Caenorhabditis elegans: one gene and its partners. The protein of the gene in region 4 interacts with the protein of the main gene of each other region in a pairwise test. Each region holds a gene or a part of one and is shown on either strand. Other genes may lie near its edges. The genes, in order: T02C5.1, tag-52, cdr-6 and C34D10.1.

Evidence for each region.
Region 1: the proteins of C34D10.1 (region 4) and T02C5.1 interact in a two-hybrid assay, tested with the Caenorhabditis elegans proteins (one large-scale study listed by BioGRID).
Region 2: the proteins of C34D10.1 (region 4) and tag-52 interact in a two-hybrid assay, tested with the Caenorhabditis elegans proteins (one large-scale study listed by BioGRID).
Region 3: the proteins of C34D10.1 (region 4) and cdr-6 interact in a two-hybrid assay, tested with the Caenorhabditis elegans proteins (one large-scale study listed by BioGRID).

What each region holds. Positions count from the first base shown.
Region 1 is NC_003284.9:2,692,923-2,698,802, forward strand, and holds T02C5.1 (TNFR-Cys domain-containing protein), read left to right. Parts: upstream 1-2,000; 5' UTR 2,001-2,012; coding exon 2,013-2,060; intron 2,061-2,110; coding exon 2,111-2,158; intron 2,159-2,201; coding exon 2,202-2,266; intron 2,267-3,138; coding exon 3,139-3,216; intron 3,217-3,267; coding exon 3,268-3,709; intron 3,710-4,298; coding exon 4,299-4,448; intron 4,449-4,496; coding exon 4,497-4,549; intron 4,550-4,598; coding exon 4,599-4,712; intron 4,713-4,933; coding exon 4,934-5,019; intron 5,020-5,072; coding exon 5,073-5,167; 3' UTR 5,168-5,351; downstream 5,352-5,880. Other genes in the region: igcm-3 (Ig-like domain-containing protein), read right to left, coding at 5,676-5,834.
Region 2 is NC_003284.9:3,673,495-3,680,218, forward strand, and holds tag-52 (Putative protein tag-52), read right to left. Parts: upstream 5,064-6,724; 5' UTR 5,061-5,063; coding exon 4,827-5,060; intron 4,495-4,826; coding exon 4,279-4,494; intron 4,229-4,278; coding exon 4,045-4,228; intron 4,001-4,044; coding exon 3,840-4,000; intron 3,797-3,839; coding exon 3,620-3,796; intron 3,567-3,619; coding exon 3,236-3,566; intron 3,190-3,235; coding exon 3,112-3,189; intron 3,069-3,111; coding exon 2,991-3,068; intron 2,925-2,990; coding exon 2,566-2,924; intron 937-2,565; coding exon 757-936; 3' UTR 547-756; downstream 1-546. Other genes in the region: Homeobox protein ceh-63, read right to left, coding at 1-29, 76-135, 180-194.
Region 3 is NC_003283.11:12,411,936-12,415,210, reverse strand, and holds cdr-6 (CaDmium Responsive), read left to right. Parts: upstream 1-1,509; 5' UTR 1,510-1,512; coding exon 1,513-1,617; intron 1,618-1,671; coding exon 1,672-1,803; intron 1,804-1,848; coding exon 1,849-1,971; intron 1,972-2,024; coding exon 2,025-2,092; intron 2,093-2,186; coding exon 2,187-2,442; intron 2,443-2,488; coding exon 2,489-2,638; 3' UTR 2,639-2,724; downstream 2,725-3,275. Other genes in the region: cdr-2 (CaDmium Responsive), read left to right, coding at 1-26, 71-329, 378-527; cdr-7 (CaDmium Responsive), read left to right, coding at 3,177-3,275.
Region 4 is NC_003284.9:8,027,574-8,032,166, reverse strand, and holds C34D10.1 (MSP domain-containing protein), read right to left. Parts: upstream 2,689-4,593; 5' UTR 2,669-2,688; coding exon 2,618-2,668; intron 2,190-2,617; coding exon 2,108-2,189; intron 2,063-2,107; coding exon 1,987-2,062; intron 1,763-1,986; coding exon 1,681-1,762; intron 1,637-1,680; coding exon 1,502-1,636; intron 1,067-1,501; coding exon 875-1,066; 3' UTR 553-874; downstream 1-552.

The DNA of each region.
Region 1 (5,880 bases), 5.3 Mb from region 4:
GGTCAGGGAGGCAAAAAATGTAACTTTCTTTGGAAAAATATGCATATCCTACAAAGTATAAACATGCCAAAATTCGCAATATTTCGTATACTTCCTAACTTACATACTTGCTCCATAACATATTCTTTGAGCCCAACTCTCTCAATGTTGTTCAATTTAATGTTTGATGGAAACATGTTCCATAATGCACTGATAAGACAACAACTACCGTGTTGTCAAAAACAAACTGTTTTAGGTTTAATCGGAAAACGATTGAGACCGTCGTCTTGATGGAATATTATGAAATCACTGTCAACAGAACAAGTGACCAAAAAATGTTGTAAAAAGCACAGATGGACATGAGAACGCACAGTTTTTATTCAGACACCGCCTTACAGATGCGAGAGCAACCAGAGCAGTTGATGGGCACACAGGCACGACGATTAGTGGGCAGCCGCCCGTACTCTCTGTCTTTTGACTGCATCTGGGCAGTTGTCTAGATATCGATACAATTTTGACCCAACAACACAGTAAAATTTTGGTCAATATTTGCTTTTTATCATAACTTCCCTCCTGTCATTTTTGATTGTTTTGTGAGTGAGAGTATGCAAATGGTGAGATGCAACTTTTGCCAATGGACTAGTCACAAGACTAAATAAAATAGAAAACTAGTCGCAATAAATTATTAGAGTGAGAAATAAGTTTTGTGGTATGTTTTTTTTGTGTCTCAAATAATATAAATTTTTCAAACGTTTGTACCTAACTTTTTTAAAATTCAATTTTCAATATAAATTGAATATGTTTGAATTCAAAAATATATAAGTCCTTGATTTATTCTGGTAAAGTTTACTAGATTCACTCCGTGCATTTTTATTCTTCAAATATTTGATTAGGCTGGATCAAGGATTTTGATTGTCAAACACTGAACCAGCTTTTGGATACAATTTTGCAGTATTGATCAATATTATCATTTCTCTTATGAAATATTTGTTTTCCAGCATACGAAAATGTGTGATATTTTTATTAGTCATGGTATATATTCATGTGACTGCAGTTAAAATGATACAAATGTTCTAAAAGCCGGAAATATTCTGTACTTTTGATAGCTCGTAAATCTCGTTTCAACGCTCATTTGTGAAAAATGCGACCTACAGTACTTTTGGTAGCGGCGTGTAAACTTAATAAATTTTAACATTCACGATTGTGCACTCTCTCAACTCTCATAGAAGTAATTGGAGATTCTGATTTTTTTTCCAAAGTGCAACGTACCACAGTTCTTCTCCAAAACTTTTCCTATTTCTCAACTTGTATATTTTTTCGCAATCGAACTTACTCACAGATTTTCAATACTTCATCTACAATATTTTTGTTAATAAATTCTGAAAATCGGAACATACTGCATTGCTCTGGATTTCCTTTAAAGCTCACGGTTTGAAAATTTTGGAATTCGCCAAACGTTTGACTCAAACTTTCCAAAATTGTTTGGAGTGTTTTATTTGGTCATTTTATTATTATTATTGGTGTATTTAAACAAAATTCCTACATGCAAATTTCGAAAAAATATTTTTGTTAGTTTCAATTATAAATGTTGTATATTTATCATAATTAGGAGACAAGAGCAAGATCACTTTCCAAGTGATAAAATTTTTTTTTTGAATTTTCAAGAAAATTTTCATCAACTATGTTTTCGAATTTGTTTTAATGGAGAATGTCATCTTTTTAAATAGTTAATAATTTTTTTCACAAAACAAATCCGCGTGTTTTTGGAAACTTGAGCAGAAACTTTTTCTATTTGTGCTTCAATGGTTATTTGTCTTCACTTTTAATAAACTATCAATTGCCATGTTTTCATATTTTTAATTTTCCACCTCATAACTCACCTCCCTCGCAACTCAGAAAATTAACATTGGCTTCCAAAGTTCACCACCTTTTTTTCTCTAACCACACCATACAAATAGAACTGTTATCAATCTGAAATTATTTAAAAAGACGTCGCTGAGATAAGAGCGTCAGTCCTTTACACGCGGCACGCAATGAGAGGAGCACTGCAGTTACTACTTTTTGTTGGTACAGTCACTCTGGTGAGACCTATTGTACACTTTGAAAATATTCTAGTTAAATTTTTATTCAGGTGGCCAGCAAGCTACATGAGTCCCCTTACGTTACCGAATGCTTTGATGTATGTTTAAATTGTTTTTTTGTAAGTTCTCAATTTGTTTTAGGGGCACTACAACTTCAGAGGCGTCTGCTTCCAATGCACTCCATGTGGTGACTTCATGTACGAGCTGTAAGTAATTTTTTGTTGATATTTTTTATGCCAAATTCATTCAAAAATTACGGGACACTGTCTCATCGTGGAATCTGTAATAAAAAGTCTGTAAACTGCCAGATTTAGCGGTTAGATCTTTAGATACTTGAAAAACCAATTCCTTATGAAATTGTAAAACATAAAACAATCTGACAGCCCGTGTATTCAAACGGTCTTGTCATTTAGCATTGATGTCAGAATACTGATAACTGTGAAGAGCATGTCATGCACACCTCGGTGTCATATGGTGTCGTGAAAACTTAGTGCTATTGAGTAACAAGGTGATTGATAAGAATAAACAGTACTTCAGTTTGAAAACAGAAATTTGATAGCAATCAATTTTCCGGGCATTTGTTTATTCAAACTTGTGACTAGCAAAACATTGAACATAGTGAGTTCAACTCACCATGGGTTTTCAAATTAACTCGGCATTTGGAGCATGGGTGTGCGGCAAATATGCCAAATTTGCCCAGCACAGCAAAACTCGAAAATGCAGATTTGCCGAATTTGCCGAGATTGGCAAATTTTGAAATTTACACATCAGTAGGAATGTTTTTCAGAAAATGGGTTTTTAAAAAATTTATTTAGGTACCTTAACTTCAAAATACCCGTTTATAAGGTTCAATTAATTTTCTAATATGAAAGTTTATGAGTTTCAAAATCTGCATGCAACCGTTGTAGAACATTATCATGCAAAAATTTAGTCAGGGGTCAAGCTTGATAAACAATATTTATTTTCAGTTTCTTATGACGTCATATATATATATATTAAACATATTTTATTATCTCGTACGGAAAACTCGCATTTCGTCGAAAATTTCCCTTTTGTGAAAAACTATTAAAGTTTTTAGAGCAAAATGCACGGATACTTCAAACACAGTTTGTGGATGGTGTGGAAACAAACCAAACTTGGACAAAATTTCTGATGAGTATGTCATAAAATGAGGCTGATTCTATTACAAAGTTAGCCCATGTTTCAGAGTGCTTGTCTCTTACCAAACCAAGTGTCTTATGTCTAGCCTAGATTTCATCGGGATGACCAAACTGAAAGACGAGCTTGTCAATGTTTTTGATGATGAAAAGGATAGTGAGGAGGTAGAAGAGTTACCAATTAAAGATAATTTCATCAAAGGTGAAAATCTTGAGATGATTGATTCAAATGAGATCAACTACGATATGGCGAGAAACAGTTTAGAAGATGTGTACGATAGTCAAGAGCACCAGCTACCAGACCCGACTTATGAAGAAGGAGATGATTCAAGTTCTTCGGAAGAAATTGGCGAAGAGGAGAAGACTGATGAAAATGAGATTGGAAGCGAAATTGTTTCGGAAAAAGTCAAAGCTTACATGATTGAAAAAAGTGAAAAAGTTCCGTCTTCTGTTAAAATTGCGAAAGGAAAAACTACAATTGTTTCTCATGAGGTAGGTGGAAAACAACAAAACAATAAAGTTAGCATATTTAAATTGTGCTATGCACTGCGGATCTGGAAGTCAGGAACACTGCCTGGTAGTGCTCTCACTGGGATATAAGGGTGAGGCCGGACTTGAACTCGTGGCCTCCAGATTGCTAGCGACCACCACTACCAACTGAGCTATCCCGCTTCTGAAATATGTCGGAGCAAATCATTGAAATAAGAAATTGAAAAGTTTTGTATACTCAAAAAAATTTTGAAGACTTTTTGACGACCCAATTTTCTTGAACTAACTTTTTTCTTTTTGTTTTTGTTGATTTTCTAAGTGTTTAATTTAAGCAAAATTCGCACACAATTGAGAAGATGCCAGAAAAAGTGGCTCCGAGTTAAAACCGTTGGGGTGGTTAAACATTTTTGAAACTGCCGTCATAAATTCCCTCACTTTTAGTATCATCTATAATCTACAAAAAAATTATTGTGTGAAGCTAACTTTTTGATGTAAACTTGGGATATCTCGCTCTTATGTTTTGAAATTGACCATGAAAATTGAGTGCCCAATTTTTAAATTTTCAGAACTAAATTCATCATTTTAATTTCAGGAAGCCGAGGCCACATTCCGAGAGATTGAAGCCCTACCAAACCCTGTGCGCAAAATCAACCAAGACGATTATGACTCCTCTGAAGAGTCAAACGAGCGTGAAATCAAGTGGGACAATTGGGTTGATGATCAAGTGAAACCAATCAGAACGGTATGTCTGCAAATCTACCCGGATTTCTGAAATTTTTTTGAAATACAGAACGTCGAAGTTGTCGAAGCCGAGGAGATTGAGGAATTTGACCAGCTCATCGCGTAAGTCAATGTTTCAATGATTTTTATTTGAGAAATTTCCATTTTTCAGAAAGTCGCTCAAAAATAGAAGAAAGATCTTGAATGATGAGACAGAAAGCTCACCACTATTCATTAAAAACTTGGGTTCAGTCTTTGTCATCTGTATGGGAATGATCATTGTTGTGTAAGTAAGCTAGATCACGTGGATTCAGAATGTCATATTTCGATTTGATCTTCAAAAAATGCGGGAGTTGAGACGCAGACATCTCATCTGATTTCGCATGGTGCTAACGTCTCAATTTTTCTGGAAAAAAACTTCCCGCCTTTTTTTGTAGATCAAACTATAAATCAACACGTCTCAGATTCTAACTTTTGAACTGTAAAATCTATGGTTTGTTTTTCCAGCACTATTCTCTCTATCACATATGCTTTGATGCGTGCGGAAAGAAAGGAATTCTTGGGCGTCCCCACCGACTCGCAGGACTATCATAGTAGGGATTTCAAAAGAGTTACAAAAAAATCTAATGTACAAAGTTTATTCCAGTGATCATTGATTCCAGCAATTATATCGAGAAGCTTGAAAGCAAGGAAAAACAGGCCAGCCGTCACGTTCATGTCAACCCAGTTTTCGATGTTTGATTAATTTTATCTTCTCCGTGAGAATTATGAGAATTATCTGTTTGTATATTTAATCTTCTTTATTTTTTTATTTTTGTATTTTTTAAATGTGCATCCGCATTTTCCATTTCATTTCTTTTTACGTTCTGAAATAGTAAATTTAAAATTTATGGGAAGAATGTATCTTTGATAAAACCTTTATTCCATTTCAAAAAAAAATGTCGGGGTAAAACACCAAAAAGGGAAATGGGTGATAACACCGCCTGAGGCCACGAAATTTAAGTGGAGGGAAATGAGAGGTGATAGAGATAGCATATAATACCCGAAGTTGCATGAATGGCTGACAATGCTCGAAGAAAAAATCAAACAAGGGATGGTTCTAGAAGGGAAAGTGAAAAATGAAAAAGAAAGAAAAAACGCAGAAAGGTACATTTGTAATTAAAATTTCAAATATGGCCATTAAAACTTTTTCAATACGGTTTTTAAAAAACAGGTAACACGGAGGATAGTGGATGTACACATAGATTAGCTAGACGACAGACTGAACAGAAGCAGTGCCCCTATGCGGTCTACTATTAACAGAGCTGATTGATACGGTACTTGATGGCTGTGCTGCGAAGCCTCTTTTGAGTTCGAGCTCTGCATAGTTCACACCCTCGTGGAATGCAGCGACCGTTGTCCGTTTCTTCTGAAGTGATGATGAGAAAAAAAACAAAGAAATGAATGAAAGAAGT
Region 2 (6,724 bases), 4.4 Mb from region 4:
GGCGGTTTGATGTTCTTAATTTGTTGGGACTAAATTGGAAAATTGATTACTTTTTAAAAATTATCAAATACTTACCGAATTGGTGTCATTTGACCATGGAAAGAAGTCATATGCAAATTTGTTTGACGTCATATTCTGACAAAGGGAAGGTTAAAAAAATAATATTATTTCAAACTTACCGTTTTAGACGTCATGCTAACAACACAATGAGCAAAACAGGGGCAATGAAAGCTCAGAGCAATTGGATGTTTAATTTGAAGGAAACGACTTTATGACTTTTCAGGATGGGACATTACATGGAAAAGAGCTGTGCAATTAGCATGGAGCGTCGTTGGAAAACACGTCGTTAATTGTAGAATTGTAGCAGATCCTACCCTACCCGGTAATAAAGATTCCAGCGTCAAACAATTATATCTATTTGTTCATTGTAGGCTTCTGTTCTCTTTTCCAGCCTATCAATTTGCAGAACAAAATGCTTCTTGTGATTCATGACTCATTTCATCAAAAATTGTTGGTAGGTACCTGAAAACATGTTTCAAAAGAAGTATCAATAGCTGTTTATTGATAACATAGTGAACAGTCTGAACAGTTTCTGGGGAGAGATATTTCACGAAAACATAAATTTTTAAGGGAAAAATGGGGAGAAAATGTGTAGAAAAAATAGGAACGACACAATGCAGAGATCAACGATCATGAGATGAAAACATACAAATAGATGGACCAAAATAGCTGAAAATTTAAAAAAAAGAGGAAAAATTACATAATTGCGCAACTATTTCTGATTGAATCAATTATTGAAGACTTTTGATTTTTAATAGCCGGTGGTGCTGATTCGGTCTCCCACCACGGACGTGGACGCTCTCCTTTGACTTTGATATCAATGATGTCGTCCTCATCATCGTCCTCAGTGACCATGTTGAATGGCTCCAGAGAACGCTGAAAATCATTTTTTGTTAGCTTGTATTAGTTTTTCTAATTTATTGAGAAAGGGTCTAATGTAAAGGTTCCACCGGGCTTTTGAACTAGACATGTTTTATTTGAAATACCATAATTAGAAATTGTTAAATATGGATTTTAAGCAGGGAATTTTATAATTGAGTTTGCGATGAGTACTCGGCGTTTGCCGCCAGTTTCCTACCCAAGGCTTCGCAACTTCTTACCCAAGCCTTGCCCAAAAAATAAAAACATTTATAAGGAGTTGCCAAGGCTTGGGTAAACCTTGGGCAAGAGTTGGGCGCCTCATAAATAAAAAAAGTCGTGGACTGCCTCGTCGTCTCGAGGCGTCGCCCAAGTCTTACCCAAGTTTTGCCTATTTCTTACCCAATTTATACGTGTGTGTTGAACTTTGATCGCATTTCCTGTTGTTCCGAAGTCTTACCTGCTGAGCCATGATGGTCGCGCGAAAAGATGCACACTAATAATATATCGTACTCATATTCTGATAGATATTTTTGAGGAAGTATCAGACACATCGGATTAATACGGTATTCCCACATACCTTATTTCATTTGTTTTCAAGTGTGCTCCCTAATGATTCTAAGTACAGAATTTACAAAATTACTGTAATTCATGTTTGTTTCATGTCTTTCAATTTTATAAAAGTTTACATTTCAAAGGAACATTTTAGTCTTAGAAAAATTCAAAAGTTGATGCATTGGATTGACTGACTATTATTTGACTATTGGACTGACTAGGAGAAGAATCATCCTGAAGATAACTTTTCTTTTTATTTTTAGATAAATTATTCGGTTTATTAGACAGTCACAGGAAATAAAAGGCAAACTTTGTTCGTACATTTTTTAACAATGTTAGCCATCAGAGCAAAATATTTAGAATTTGACTTTGAAGGGACAAGTTTTCCTGTGAATTCTTTCAATTACATCGAAATTCCTCTATTTTAAATACAAATTACTCAAAAGACAAAGTGTCGATTTACGCTAAACATTGCGCATGCAGGATTTCGGAATCTTGTTTGTTCTTTACATCTGCAAACTTGGGTAAAAAGTTGGCAAGACTTGGCTAAGACTTGGGCAAAACTCGGGCGAGGGAGTTTACACTAGAATTGTTGAAGTTGGGTAAGACTTGGGCATACTCTGGGTTAGAAGTTGGCAAGAGTTGGGTAAGAAGCTGGAAAGCCCCAAACTTGGGGAAGAAGCTGCCGGGAATTGCCGAGTAAGAGCAGCAACATCGGAGCTCTGGGGATGTTCATGATGGTAAGTTACCATTGGTAACATGCAGATTTTTTTATTGGAAAAATCACCCTCGTAATTTAAAAAATATGTTTCGAGTTTCTGAAAATTGCATGCTTCTGGTGATCAAAATTCCAGATTTTGATAAAATTCAGACATCTTCCAAACTTTTTTTAAAGTCATGAAAGTTATATGAATTGGCAAATACCACCACCACACATGTCCTCGGAGCACCCACAATGCACCGCTTATTCCGAGCATATTTGCAAGCTCACCGCAAACTCAATTCTAAAATTTCGAAGTCTGAAATTTATATACAACAGAAAATCAGGTGGCACCTTCAGTCTCTTCCCTAGTTAACTCTTCAATCACCAACCTGTTGGTAGCTCAACTTGCGAATGTCGTCCACTGCAAGATGGCGACGTGGTGGTTCCGAAGCCACAGAGCGACGAACCTCGCTGAAATCGCGTGGGCGGCGATCCTCTTCATCATAACTAGCCACACGTCTGATTGGAATCTTCTTGTCGTCCGAAACAAACTCCTCGTCATCAGTCCAAACATAGTCCCGATCACTGTCGTAATCGTCATCAGTTGGTGTTCTCGACTTTGGAGTTCCCACAAAAGCATTAAGACCAGTGTACGGTTGTGTCATGGTGACATCATTGAGAACAAGATGGCTGAGGTAGTTGTTGCCGTCAGTTACATCTGCATTTTTATTTCTCAGAGTAGACGCTCCTGAAAATTCACGCATTGCTTTGAAAGCCTCGAAAAACTTGAAAAACTAAGCCTTGAAAAACTCACTACGTTTTCGAAAAGACGAACTTCTTGGGGAGGCTGTCCAACCAACGCCTGATGGAGTGTTCTCTTGCAGAGTGGCTTCTAAAAATCCAAATTAATCAAAATCTCAATATTTCTAACATACTCCGCTTCCGCTGAGATAGATTGGGAGAAGATAGCATGTTGAATACGTCTTCTTCTTCATCCTCCAAAGTAGCAACTTCTGAAAACAAATTAACAATTACCGGGTAACATATTCATAAACGTACTTCGCTTCCGTTGATTCGAAGCAATCGTGGAAGTTGTCCACTGTCCACGAAGAAAATCACTTTCCTCGAGCTTCGGAGCTGGCTTCTTTCTTGTCAACACACGACTGATGTTGCCCGTCATATCGGCAGTTATCATATTACGGAGCTTGTCTCGATTTCTCTGCCAGAATCCTTTGTCAAAGATGAGCGACTTTTGCTTGAAACTCTCTTTCCGCAGCGTATCACGAAGCTTCTTTGCGTTGTCAATAGCATCGCAAATCTCATTGTACCACTCCGTAACACCTCCGAGTGAGTAGGCTGTAAAGTCCACACCGACGTCTCCACAACGAATCTGAAATTTGAAGTTACCATTTTCGAGTCTTTAATAATAATATAACCACATACAAATATGCTCCCTCCTATATCATCAAGTTGGACAATGCAGTGACGGAGTGAGAGAATTGCAGACGGCTCGTATTTGCAGAGTGGCATCACACTGATTCTCTTGATTCCGTAAAGAAGAATATCATTGAACAGGAAGACCACGGTTTCCTGGTAGTTGGCTGATCCATTGAGCTCTCTCTGAAATTAACCAAATTAGGATTGATACTAAAATGTATATTACCTTGTACAACATTCCTTCCTTCAACAATACGCGTCCTGGCTCAAGAATGTGCCCATCCAGACCAAAATTCAGTTGGATTTGAAGGAGTCGTTCTCCATTTTCATAAGCTGTCATGCAGGATTGAATCTGATCGGAGAGCCCTTGCATACCCGACAACGCTTCTGAAAAAAGTAGCTATAAGAAAATCGTTCCAATAAATTCTTACTGTAAAGGTTTGTCATATCATCTTTCTCAGTGCTGTAATTCATCAAATTTTGAATGAGCATGATATAGCGTGGAATGCGTTGAATTGGCATGATGAGGTATGTCTGGAGTTTCTTTCCATCAACTCTGGGGTCTTCCTCAATTTTGGTCAGAGCTTTGCGGAAGTCGTTGCGAGACATCAGTTTCTGGAAAGTAAAAATAATAAGGTATCATAGATTTTATTGTTATAACTAACCGCAAAAATTTTCAGCGAATTTGGATAATGGGATGCATAACTGGTATAGAGTTTGAGGAACGGTACAAATTTGGTAAAGACCTCGGCGATCGGCTTGCACTGAAGGGATTCCAGAAGGATTTGATGAGTCTTGCAGATTGCTGATATCTCGCCGAACATGGATCGGAAGCATTTTTTTGATTTGGGGCACCACAAGTTAAGTTGTTGAATGAATATCTGGAAAAAAAGATTTTAAGAAGCTTTTAGAAGTTTTTGAGATACTTATGGCTATCAATTTAATAGATGCGTTTTATAAATCACGGTTCTCGGTAAGTCGTACCTGACAAATTTTTGTCATAGATTTTTCAGGTACCTCGGTTGCAAGTGTTCGAGCATCATTTCATGAGAATATCAAAAAGCGCAAACGCATGATTCCAAAAGCAACCGGCAATAGCAGCGAAACGCCAAAATTTTTGGTAACCGGCTACTGTCGGCTGCCAAACCGAATGTTACAAATTTCGGCAATTTTTAGGCAACCGGCATTCTGGTTTATATAATTAAATCCTGACCTCATCGACGATAGTGAGCGCTTTCACATAGGTTCTCTCGGTATCATAAATTTCTTGTAAAATCTGGATTTTCTCTGTCGGCTGATTAGCATACAGTGTACTCATGTCAAATGGCAAATAGCTGTTCATCTTATGTGTGAAATAATCAGTATTTTCATCGGGAGCCTTTTGCAAACTGCCTTGCGACGAGTCACTTTGGTACGTGTAGTAGTTGAATTCTTTGCCCGCGTTCATAGTCTGAAAAACAACAGAGTTAGATGAAAGGAAACATTTGATTTTAAATCGAAAAAAAAAGACATTGATAATGAAGAGAACTACCCGGTAAACAAGACTCTGCAAACAGAACACGGGATAAAGAGGGATAAAAATCAATAGATTGAGTAGAACGGCCGGCAGGTGTTCTCCCAAACGACCGCCACAACACCATCGCATTCAAATTCGCGGTGGCATCAGAGGAGCGCGTTTGCACACTCATCGCTATAGTGGGGGTTGGCCATGCATGTCCACATGATGCAAGGAAAAATGAGAAGAGTGAAGAAGGGGTGGGGGGGGGGGGGGCACTATGTGAGAACACGGAGGACAAGGACGTTTTTGCGCAAGACAAATGATCAAATGCCGTGCTGTATGTTGTTGGTAGATGCTACGTCATCTGGGAGTAGCAGAGTAGAAGGAAGAGATGCGTTTGTTGGGCAGTATCTAGATCAACAGGAAATGATAAATCAGTAGTGAAAATTTGGAGTCTTTAAAAACTGGAGTCAGATGATTTGATATGATAGGAAGAGCACATGGTCTCGAATTTCCCGACAATCACATGAGTGGAGTGGAAAATGGAATATTATCAGATGCTGGCGTTTCAAACAAGAGGACTGTACAAAACGTAGAAACTAGTGTGAACAAAGACCATTGTACAACAAATAAAATTGCGCGTTTTCCCGTCGTTTATAAAATAAAAAATAAGAAGCCATTAAATGAAACTACTAAATAAATATAAAATAATAAAATATATTTCTCCGTTTCGTCCTTAAGCTTGTCAAAGCTGTCTAAAAGCCCTCTCTAAACAGCATGTAAATTGAAAGAAATATACTGACATGAGATTTTCCATATTTTGTTGTGGAATAAAATGTAATTACATCAAACCACATGAGAAATAAAGTGATTTTCAGAGAAAAACACCAACAACAGCTGATGCCAAATATCAATATGTAAAATCTATTACTGAAAAATAGATAGTTCTCAGAAATTTTTAAAATACTATTTAGATTACACGTGATCAAAATAGGCAAAAAAACCAGATAATTTAAGAAAAGTCTTCATAATATTGTGGTTTTTTATAGATTTTTAGTCACCGTTTTAGGGAATCATTGAGGTTCCAGAAATTCAGTTTTTGTCAAGGATTAGAGCATTGGTGCATTTTTGGAACATAAATTTTTGAAACATAATCTTAGTAAAAAAAATTGTACAGAAGTTTTAGTCGAACATCGAGAATGTAATTAAACCAGTATGAAGATTTGTAAATAAATCTTTGAATTTTGGAAAGGCGACTCATAAACCTCAAAAAACTTCCAGCTCAGATTTTTTGTAGAAATATGTTTGTATTAAAGCAGGAAACACATTTTCAAAAGTTTTAGTCTTGGGTATTATTGGAACATATTTAAAATGCAAATTATGGAAAAAGTAAAGTGATTTTGCATGAGGCGGAAACAACCATTTCTAAGCCTTAAAAAAGGAAAAAAAAAAAGCAAAACACGATCAATTGAAATAGACCGAATTTGACAAATGAATGGAAATTTAATTTATTTCCAAAATGATAGTCTCATAGTCCACGAGGGCTTTCGAAATTAATTGAATATTTAAGTTTAGGGTACTTTTCATTTTCTACCCCGCATTTTAAAAGAACA
Region 3 (3,275 bases), on a different chromosome or scaffold from region 4:
AGACTTGCAGATAATCATTTGTTCAAGTGAGTTATTCAAATACTCTGATTTTTAATGGTTTTTGTTACAGTTTGCTTATCCGTTACAAAATAATAGGAGATGAATTTTTCCATATTCTTGTCAGAAGCATTGGTATTCCAAAATTCCTTCAGCCACTTCTCTTTCCACTTATTCGAGCCTCATTTGGAAAGAAAGTCTATCAGAGATCGACAGGATCAATTGGAGATTTTGAATTAAAAGAAATGGATGATATTCTTCATAGAGATTTCCAAACAATTCAAGATTATTTGGGAGATCAAAAGTTTTTGTTCGGAGATAAAGTTACAGCGGTTTGTGAAATCAATTAGAACCCAATTTTTTATCTCATAAAATTTCAGGCAGATGCAGCTGTATTTGGTCAAATTGCGTCGGTGATTTATCCATTCCGGTGCAGTATCAACGATGCCCTTGAAAATGATTTCCCAAAAATTCTGGAATATTGTGAACGAGTTCGTCAGGAAATATATCCAAATGATTTTACAATTTAATTTTTGTTTTATGAAAATAAATGTTCATTTTCAAATGAGGAGGCAACTCCAAAAGTGATATATTTTCTTCTTCCATTTTTGAAATTGATAAGAAACCTTGTCATCATTTCCACTATTGTTTACTCAAACAAGTGTGGATGGCAAAGATTGAAAAATCAAAGATTATCTTCAACAATTTAAATGTTTCTTATGGAATTATCAAAGCAAACTATTCGCTTTTGTCCAAATTTTCAATTTTCTAAAGTATGCAAAGAAATTTGGAAATTCTCGAAGTTTTCCCGCATATCTTGGCTACTTAAAACATTTTTTCAGGTTTTAGCATAATTTTTAGAATTCAAAAACTTTGTAGAAGAAATACGGAGAAATTCACAAAACAGCATCTTAAAAGCTATCTAGTTGTTGTGAAAGCAAAGGTAAAAGTGCAAACCAACAGAATAAAAAACTAAAATGTTCAAACTTTAACTTATATTTCCTCAAAATAATAGTTTTTTGTACGAATATTGAAAAACAAATGAAGTGATGTTGGTTGACCAAAAAATCAACTAATGATAATTAAACCAAACTAAGCACAAACTTCACTACAAACCACATACCTTTACCTTCTTTTTCTGTTTCTCCTTTAAAATTTAATATAAAATGAAAAGTGGCTCAACGAATACTCAAACTTTTCAAAGTCCGCTATAAAATCTATTTTCCAAGTTGTTTAGACATTGTAAAGATAGCAAACATGACAATATTCTTTTCCACAAAATACATTGTGTCTAACCGTCTAATGTCTCTCAAAACACACGTTCACTGGCTAGACTCTACCCTCATTGCAAGATGGCAGTATTAAATAGAGTCGATACTCATTTCTTCTTACCTTTTTTTTTCGTCAGTTTTGAGTTCTAATTAACGCAACTAACGTCTTAATTTGTAAAATAATAGCAACTCTTATATTTATTGATTTTTTTCTACTTTTGAACGTGAAAAATTATTTTCCAGAATGGTGTGTTGCTGTCCAGTGACAACAACCCTAGTGGTTGGTGCAATCGCTTTTTTCATTTACAAGAAATTCTTCACGCCACCAACAATTAAACCAAAGCCGGCGGTTAGTTTCTTTTTTTTTTTTGAAAATTTTTAATTTACGAACAAATATTTTTAGATTCACAAAACCGACTACAAGAAAGATACTGTTTATCTTTACCAATTCAAAAGACTGAAAAACTGCCCAAATCTTTCACCATTCTGCATGAAAATTGAGATTCTTTGCAGAGTCTACAATATTCCTTATGAGGTTTATTTCTTTTTTTGCTGAACAAATTTTGAATTTAAATTTCAGATTGTGGAGAGTTCAATGGCTCGATCGAGAAATGGAACTTTACCTTTTATCGAGCTCAATGGGGAACACATTGCAGACTCTGATCTCATTGAGATTCGCCTGAGACAACATTTTAAGATTCCAGTAAGTAATTCGAGATGTTTTCAAAATTAATTTTGCAAAAATATATATTTCAGAGCCTCCCAACCGAACAAGAAGCGCAGTCAGTTGCTTTGAGCAGAATGGCAGATAATCATCTTTTCTAGTAGGTATTTACATTTAAATTCTGAAGATGATTAGAAACAGAAGAAAATTCATTATCTCATTGAAATTTATAAGTTCGAAATCATTTTTTACAGTGTACTTCTCCGCTACAAGAGCTCAGTTGACATGTTTTACGAGATCATTGTCGGGCTTCTCGGTTTACCATCAGCATTCAACGCCGTATTGGTTCCTCTGGTCAAAGCTGTGTTTGGAAGCAAAGTTTATAGTCGTTGTGTTGGGGCAATTGGAGATTTTGAGCCACATGAGCTTGATGAGCTTCTTCATAGAGATCTCAAAGTAATTCAAGACTCTATCAAAGGGAAATTCCTTTTCGGAGACAAGATCACACCGGTTTGTTAATTTATAGTTGTATCCTTTTTACCTGGGAATTTTCTAGACTGATGCAACCGTATTTGGACAATTGGCATCCGTGTATTACCCACTTCGTTCGCATATCAACGACGTGCTGGAAAAGGATTTCCCAAAAATTCTTGAGTACTGCGAAAGTGTTCGCAAGGAAGTGTACCCCAATGATTTCACCATCTAACTTCAATTTTTAGTTAATTTTTCTTGTCTTACCTTTTCTTTAGCCAAATAAAAGTGTCTATAACAATAAGTATTTGTATCTTCAAAAGCTTTGATAACGATAAAACAATCAACTTATAACAAGAGGCTTCACATAAAGTCAGAAAAAATTTGAGAATGGCATTATTTTGCTCAGCAATTGCTTAGGCGTATATACGAATTGCATATCTTTAAAGATATACACTGACCCAAATAATAGTTTTTGTTTTGAAGCTATTTTTAGTTGAAATTCGAAAACTTCATTCCATTCTAATAGTTATATCAGCTAACCTCAAAAATGCTCAAAGCTCGTAAATCTGTTTCAAAATATATACCTAAATAGCTTTGATCTGAAATAATGTTTTCTTGATCTCTTCGGTTATTTTGACCTCTTGATCTCTATTGAAAGACATTAATTTAACACTTGTGTAAAAAAGATCGAGAGATAAGATAACGAGAAGGGCAAAAAAGAGGAAAAGGACACCTCCGTCTACATTCAAATCATGTATCAAGGGTTGAAAATGTCTATTTGTGCCCACTCTAAACTGATTTTTGCTTCTGCTGCTGCTATTTATGCTGTTTATAAAATCAACAAGTTCTTCACTCCACCAACTATCAAT
Region 4 (4,593 bases):
ATTTATGACCCTAAGAAACTAAACTTTTGAACTTATTAATTTTAATTTCAGAAAACTGTGTCACAAATTATGAAATTAAAAAATGGGAAGAAAAATACTTTAATTGAATTTGATTTTTGATTTTTTTTTGTGTAGATTTTGTTCTCAAAAAAGTATTAAAAATTTAGTAAAAAATTTAACGATACTATATTTTTATTTACTGTTTTGTCTTGCGCAAAAATGTTTTAAAAATAATAAGAAGAATACAATTTTCATTGCATGCGCGATAGATTCTTCAAGTAATTTGTATTTATATCATTTACACGGCGACAAATTCATGTTTAGTATTTAGTTTCAATGCGTTTCAAAGTAGATTTTTTTGTCACTTTTCAGTCAGCTGTATACATTTTGATGCGGTCTTTTTAGAATATGAATTGGCAAAAATGGAATTATCAAAAAAATGGAAAAAAAAAACTATTCGACGAAAATGAATAACCTCGTAAAAACTACCTGCTTGGCATTTTCAATTCCCAATATTTTTGTGTTTGGTAAGTGTAATACAAAACAATATCTACCATAATTTTCGATTGCTTTGTCTCAATTGCAATTACCGATAATTTAAAAACAAAAAGAGGTAGAGAAGTCATATACATACAGATATTATCAAAAAGTGCGTATTTCATGATTGTTCCTACAAGAATGTACAATAAGAATGATTGCTTGATTTGCAAACAATTTACAGTAATAGCCACAAAATGACTACCATGTATTGAAAAAGAAACAGGCACAAATAATGCCAGTAGATGAGAGAAGAACACATTTTTTGAAGACAGGAGAACAAGTGACTCGATTCGGGAAGGAAGTTAGACCAGTGATTGAATGACATTAGATAGCTTTACATGGGACGGAGAATTAATACAGAGACAATGCCGAGAATATAAGAAGCGACTAGCTTCTGTTGAAAGGACATGTGGAGCATTGGGGGAACGGATGAAGATTTTGATTCAATATCACCGGCGGTTGGACAGACGAGTGCGACAGCACAACACAGGCCAACGATGAGACAAGCCCACATGCTTGATTGGTTCTGAAAATGTTGAGTGTTGAGGATTTTATTTAATCTTTGAAACATTTAATTTGGAAATGGTTGTGGCGCCCGGATGATCGCTTAGTGAATATAAGGTCGTAACAGAATATAAGGTCGTAACAGATAACAACGAAAAAAATTATTCGAAAATGAGCTACCAGAAAACCGCGTCCGGGTTTGCAAACGGTTCCTTTTCTCCTACTTTGAGGAACAGCTTATTGCTGTTTCAATTTTCATAAATTTTGCATTCATAAAGTTGAAAGATATTTTGTCCTTTATATTTTCTTGTAAACGTCACGTAAACCAATATTGAAAATACAGACTGATATATTTAAAATGAAATTTTCTAGCTACTAGTTGTTTCAATTTTACATTACATTACATTCACGTGCTATTTTTCTATAATAAAATTTATTTTTCAAATGAAAACCTTACCCTATCGTTTCCTCTTTCGCTTGTTGTAGAACTGCTCATTCTGTTTGATTGCTGGACTTTTTCAAAACGGGGTTCATCGGGATTTGTGTGCTCGGAGGACACGGTGAGTAACGTGAGAACGCAGGATCCACTCGCCTGAATAGTTTTTGTTTAATTTGAAATTAAATTTTGAGATTTACCGTCGGCGATCCTTTTTTGCTAATCTCAATTTTCAACTTGTCGACGTTGCCAACTGGGAGACGCTGGATACATCGGACAACTCTGAAAATTTTGTGGGATAAAAATCAATGCTGGAATTTATTTTCTTAAATACTGTTTCACAATTTTGATTACTATACCGTATATTCTCTATTAGTGCTGCATGCAACACTAATTTCTAGGACCTCTTTGATCGCAGAACTATTAGAGACTGCAGTACTACTGGAAGTTGCAGCACTAATAGAGAATATACGGTATATACATTCACAAAAGTTTTGCAAACTTACATATCTTGACAACATTTTGCTTGGAGGACACCGGTAGTTTCATTTACAGTATAGTTCCTAGTGGCAGTGCACAAAACTGAAAAAGTCAAATTTTCGAGCGGATGAAAAGATTTTTCCTTACTTTTATAAGTTATCACATGACCAAATGGGTTGTACAATGTGAACAGCTTTGCCTGTGATTTCTCGTTGAGCCGGAATTGTAACTGCAATAAAATGCTTTTAAAACGAGATTTGGTTGTTTTTATTATCATTAAATTGTTTGAAAACCACAAAAAATTTAAAAAATCCTTAATTATATAGTCGTTCATTATTTTAAAAGGTGTTTCATTTCGACTCTATTAATTTTCTTTTTTGTAGTTTTTTTTTCAAAATTCTCTACATTGCTTTTTAAATTAAAAAAAAGCGAGTTCAATTATTTCCAGAAGAATTGTATAAATCAAAAAATAAAATAAGCAGCCATATCCTTTTTAGATTATTGATTTTTAATAGTGTAGCTCGAGAACCGCAAACATTGCAATTAGTCTTGCATACAAGACTAATAAAGATATATTGGAAAAATAGAAAATTTGTTTTTTTGACAATCTTATAAATTTAATAAGTATTAGCGTTTTATATTTTTTGAAAAACTCACTTCTGTTGTGTTGACAAAAACGGGCAATGCGTCCTCATCTGCTCCTGACATATGTTTTGTTGAGATAAAATCTGTAAAACAAAATTTTAAATTTTTAAAGTTATATTTGAAAAAAAAAACTGTAAGGCTAAGGGGAATAATCATAGACCAAGGTTGCTGCGCAAGAGTCCGACCAGTTTCTATTAGCAGATGACGCGATAGAGGAGAAAAGAAGGCAACGTGATCACGGGAGAAAATGAGTAGCGTCCGCGGCCTCCATATCGACCCGTCTAGCCAGTGTAAACACTCTTCAACGGGAAGCGGGTCAAACAATTGCTGGCGCGTTTTGGGATTCGGAAAAGAAAACGTTGACTTTTTGGTAACAAAACAATGGTTTTATGTTCAATTAACAGTTAACGTTCTAAAAAACAAAGCATTATTTGAACTTAATATTGTCTCATTTTTCTAAAGAGCTTAAAATTTATTAACAAAACTAAACAAAGTTTATAATCCATATCCTAATTATAATAGCATCGTAACACGTCTTTATAAATTGAACAGCGTTTTCAATGCACTGCAAATGGAAACAAATGCTAAAAAAAAGGAGAGCAAAGGAGAAAGAGACAATGAGAAGTGAGCCAATTCCCATCGTGAAGTGAGAATAGAAGGTGGTGTCTTGCAATGATGTTGTCTAGTAATCCCCGACAACAATTGATTTATGTAAAAACAAAAAATAGAATCAATACAAGCAAAAATGTATGTGAACTTTAACAATGGCAAACTTATAAAAAATCACCGGAACAATAAAAAAAATTTGAAAAATTTTACAAGGATCCAACTGTCAGTTGAAAAATAAGTTAATTCTCATTGTCATGAACTTTCATGAAAAAATGCTTATCGGAGTATTTTCAAAACTATCAATCAGCATTTTTCATAGCAAGACATTAACCGATTAGGAATAAACATCTTGCAAAATAATAATTTGAACAAAAGTGAAATTATCAACAGTTTGGAAAAAAAAATTACCAGTGGAAATTCAGTTTTGAATAAGTTCAATCAGCCCAAACAACTCAGAAAATAAGAAAGGGAATACATTTAATTCAATTGGTAATAAACTAAAGGAAACAGACAAAGGTGAATTTTTTGGGCAAATTCATTTTTTCTGAGCTGTGAAATAAATTACTGTAAATCATTAAAATTAAAATTAATAGGTTTGTCTCTATTAGGCTAAGGATTAGAGTCTTTCTACGCTTAAAAATACAAATCATTTTCACGTTTTTCTTAAAGGTGGACTACACTTTGTGGGGAAATTGCTTTAAAACACGCATTTGGGGTCACCGAATATCATGATTAAAAAAATTCAAAAAAATGTCCCTGATTTTATATGATTTTTTGAAAATTGGAAAAATCTCAGTTTTCCCCTAATTCCTATTTAAGTTTCCGTTAATTTATTCGTTCGATGGAGCGCGCTTGCATTATTCTTATTTTTTATTTCATTTTATTTTTCATTATTTCACTGATTGTCTTAATTTTTTGGCGTTTTTATTAGGAAAATGGAAGAAATTAACAAAATAAATGCCAAATGTTTGTTAAATAGTCATTGATAGGGTGTAAAACTGTTAAAATACTAATTGCAGGCTTGTCGTCCTCTGAGCAGATAATTTCACAGGTTTAGGAATTATCAGTTACTTTTTAATTAACAATTTCCATTTACTTTGTTAATTTCTTTCATTTTCCGACTACAAACGATCAAAAATTAAGAAAATCAGTGGAATAATAAGAAAAAAATGCAAGCGCGCTTCATCGAACGAATAAATGGCGGAAATTTAAATAGGCATGGGGGGAAAACTGAGATTTTCCCCATTTTCAAAAAATCATATAGAATCAGGGAAATTTTTTTGAATGTTTTATCATGATATTCGGTCATTGTGACTCCATAGGCGTGTCTTAAAGGTGGTGTAGTCGAATTGTTTTATTGCTTTATGAGACTCAGAATT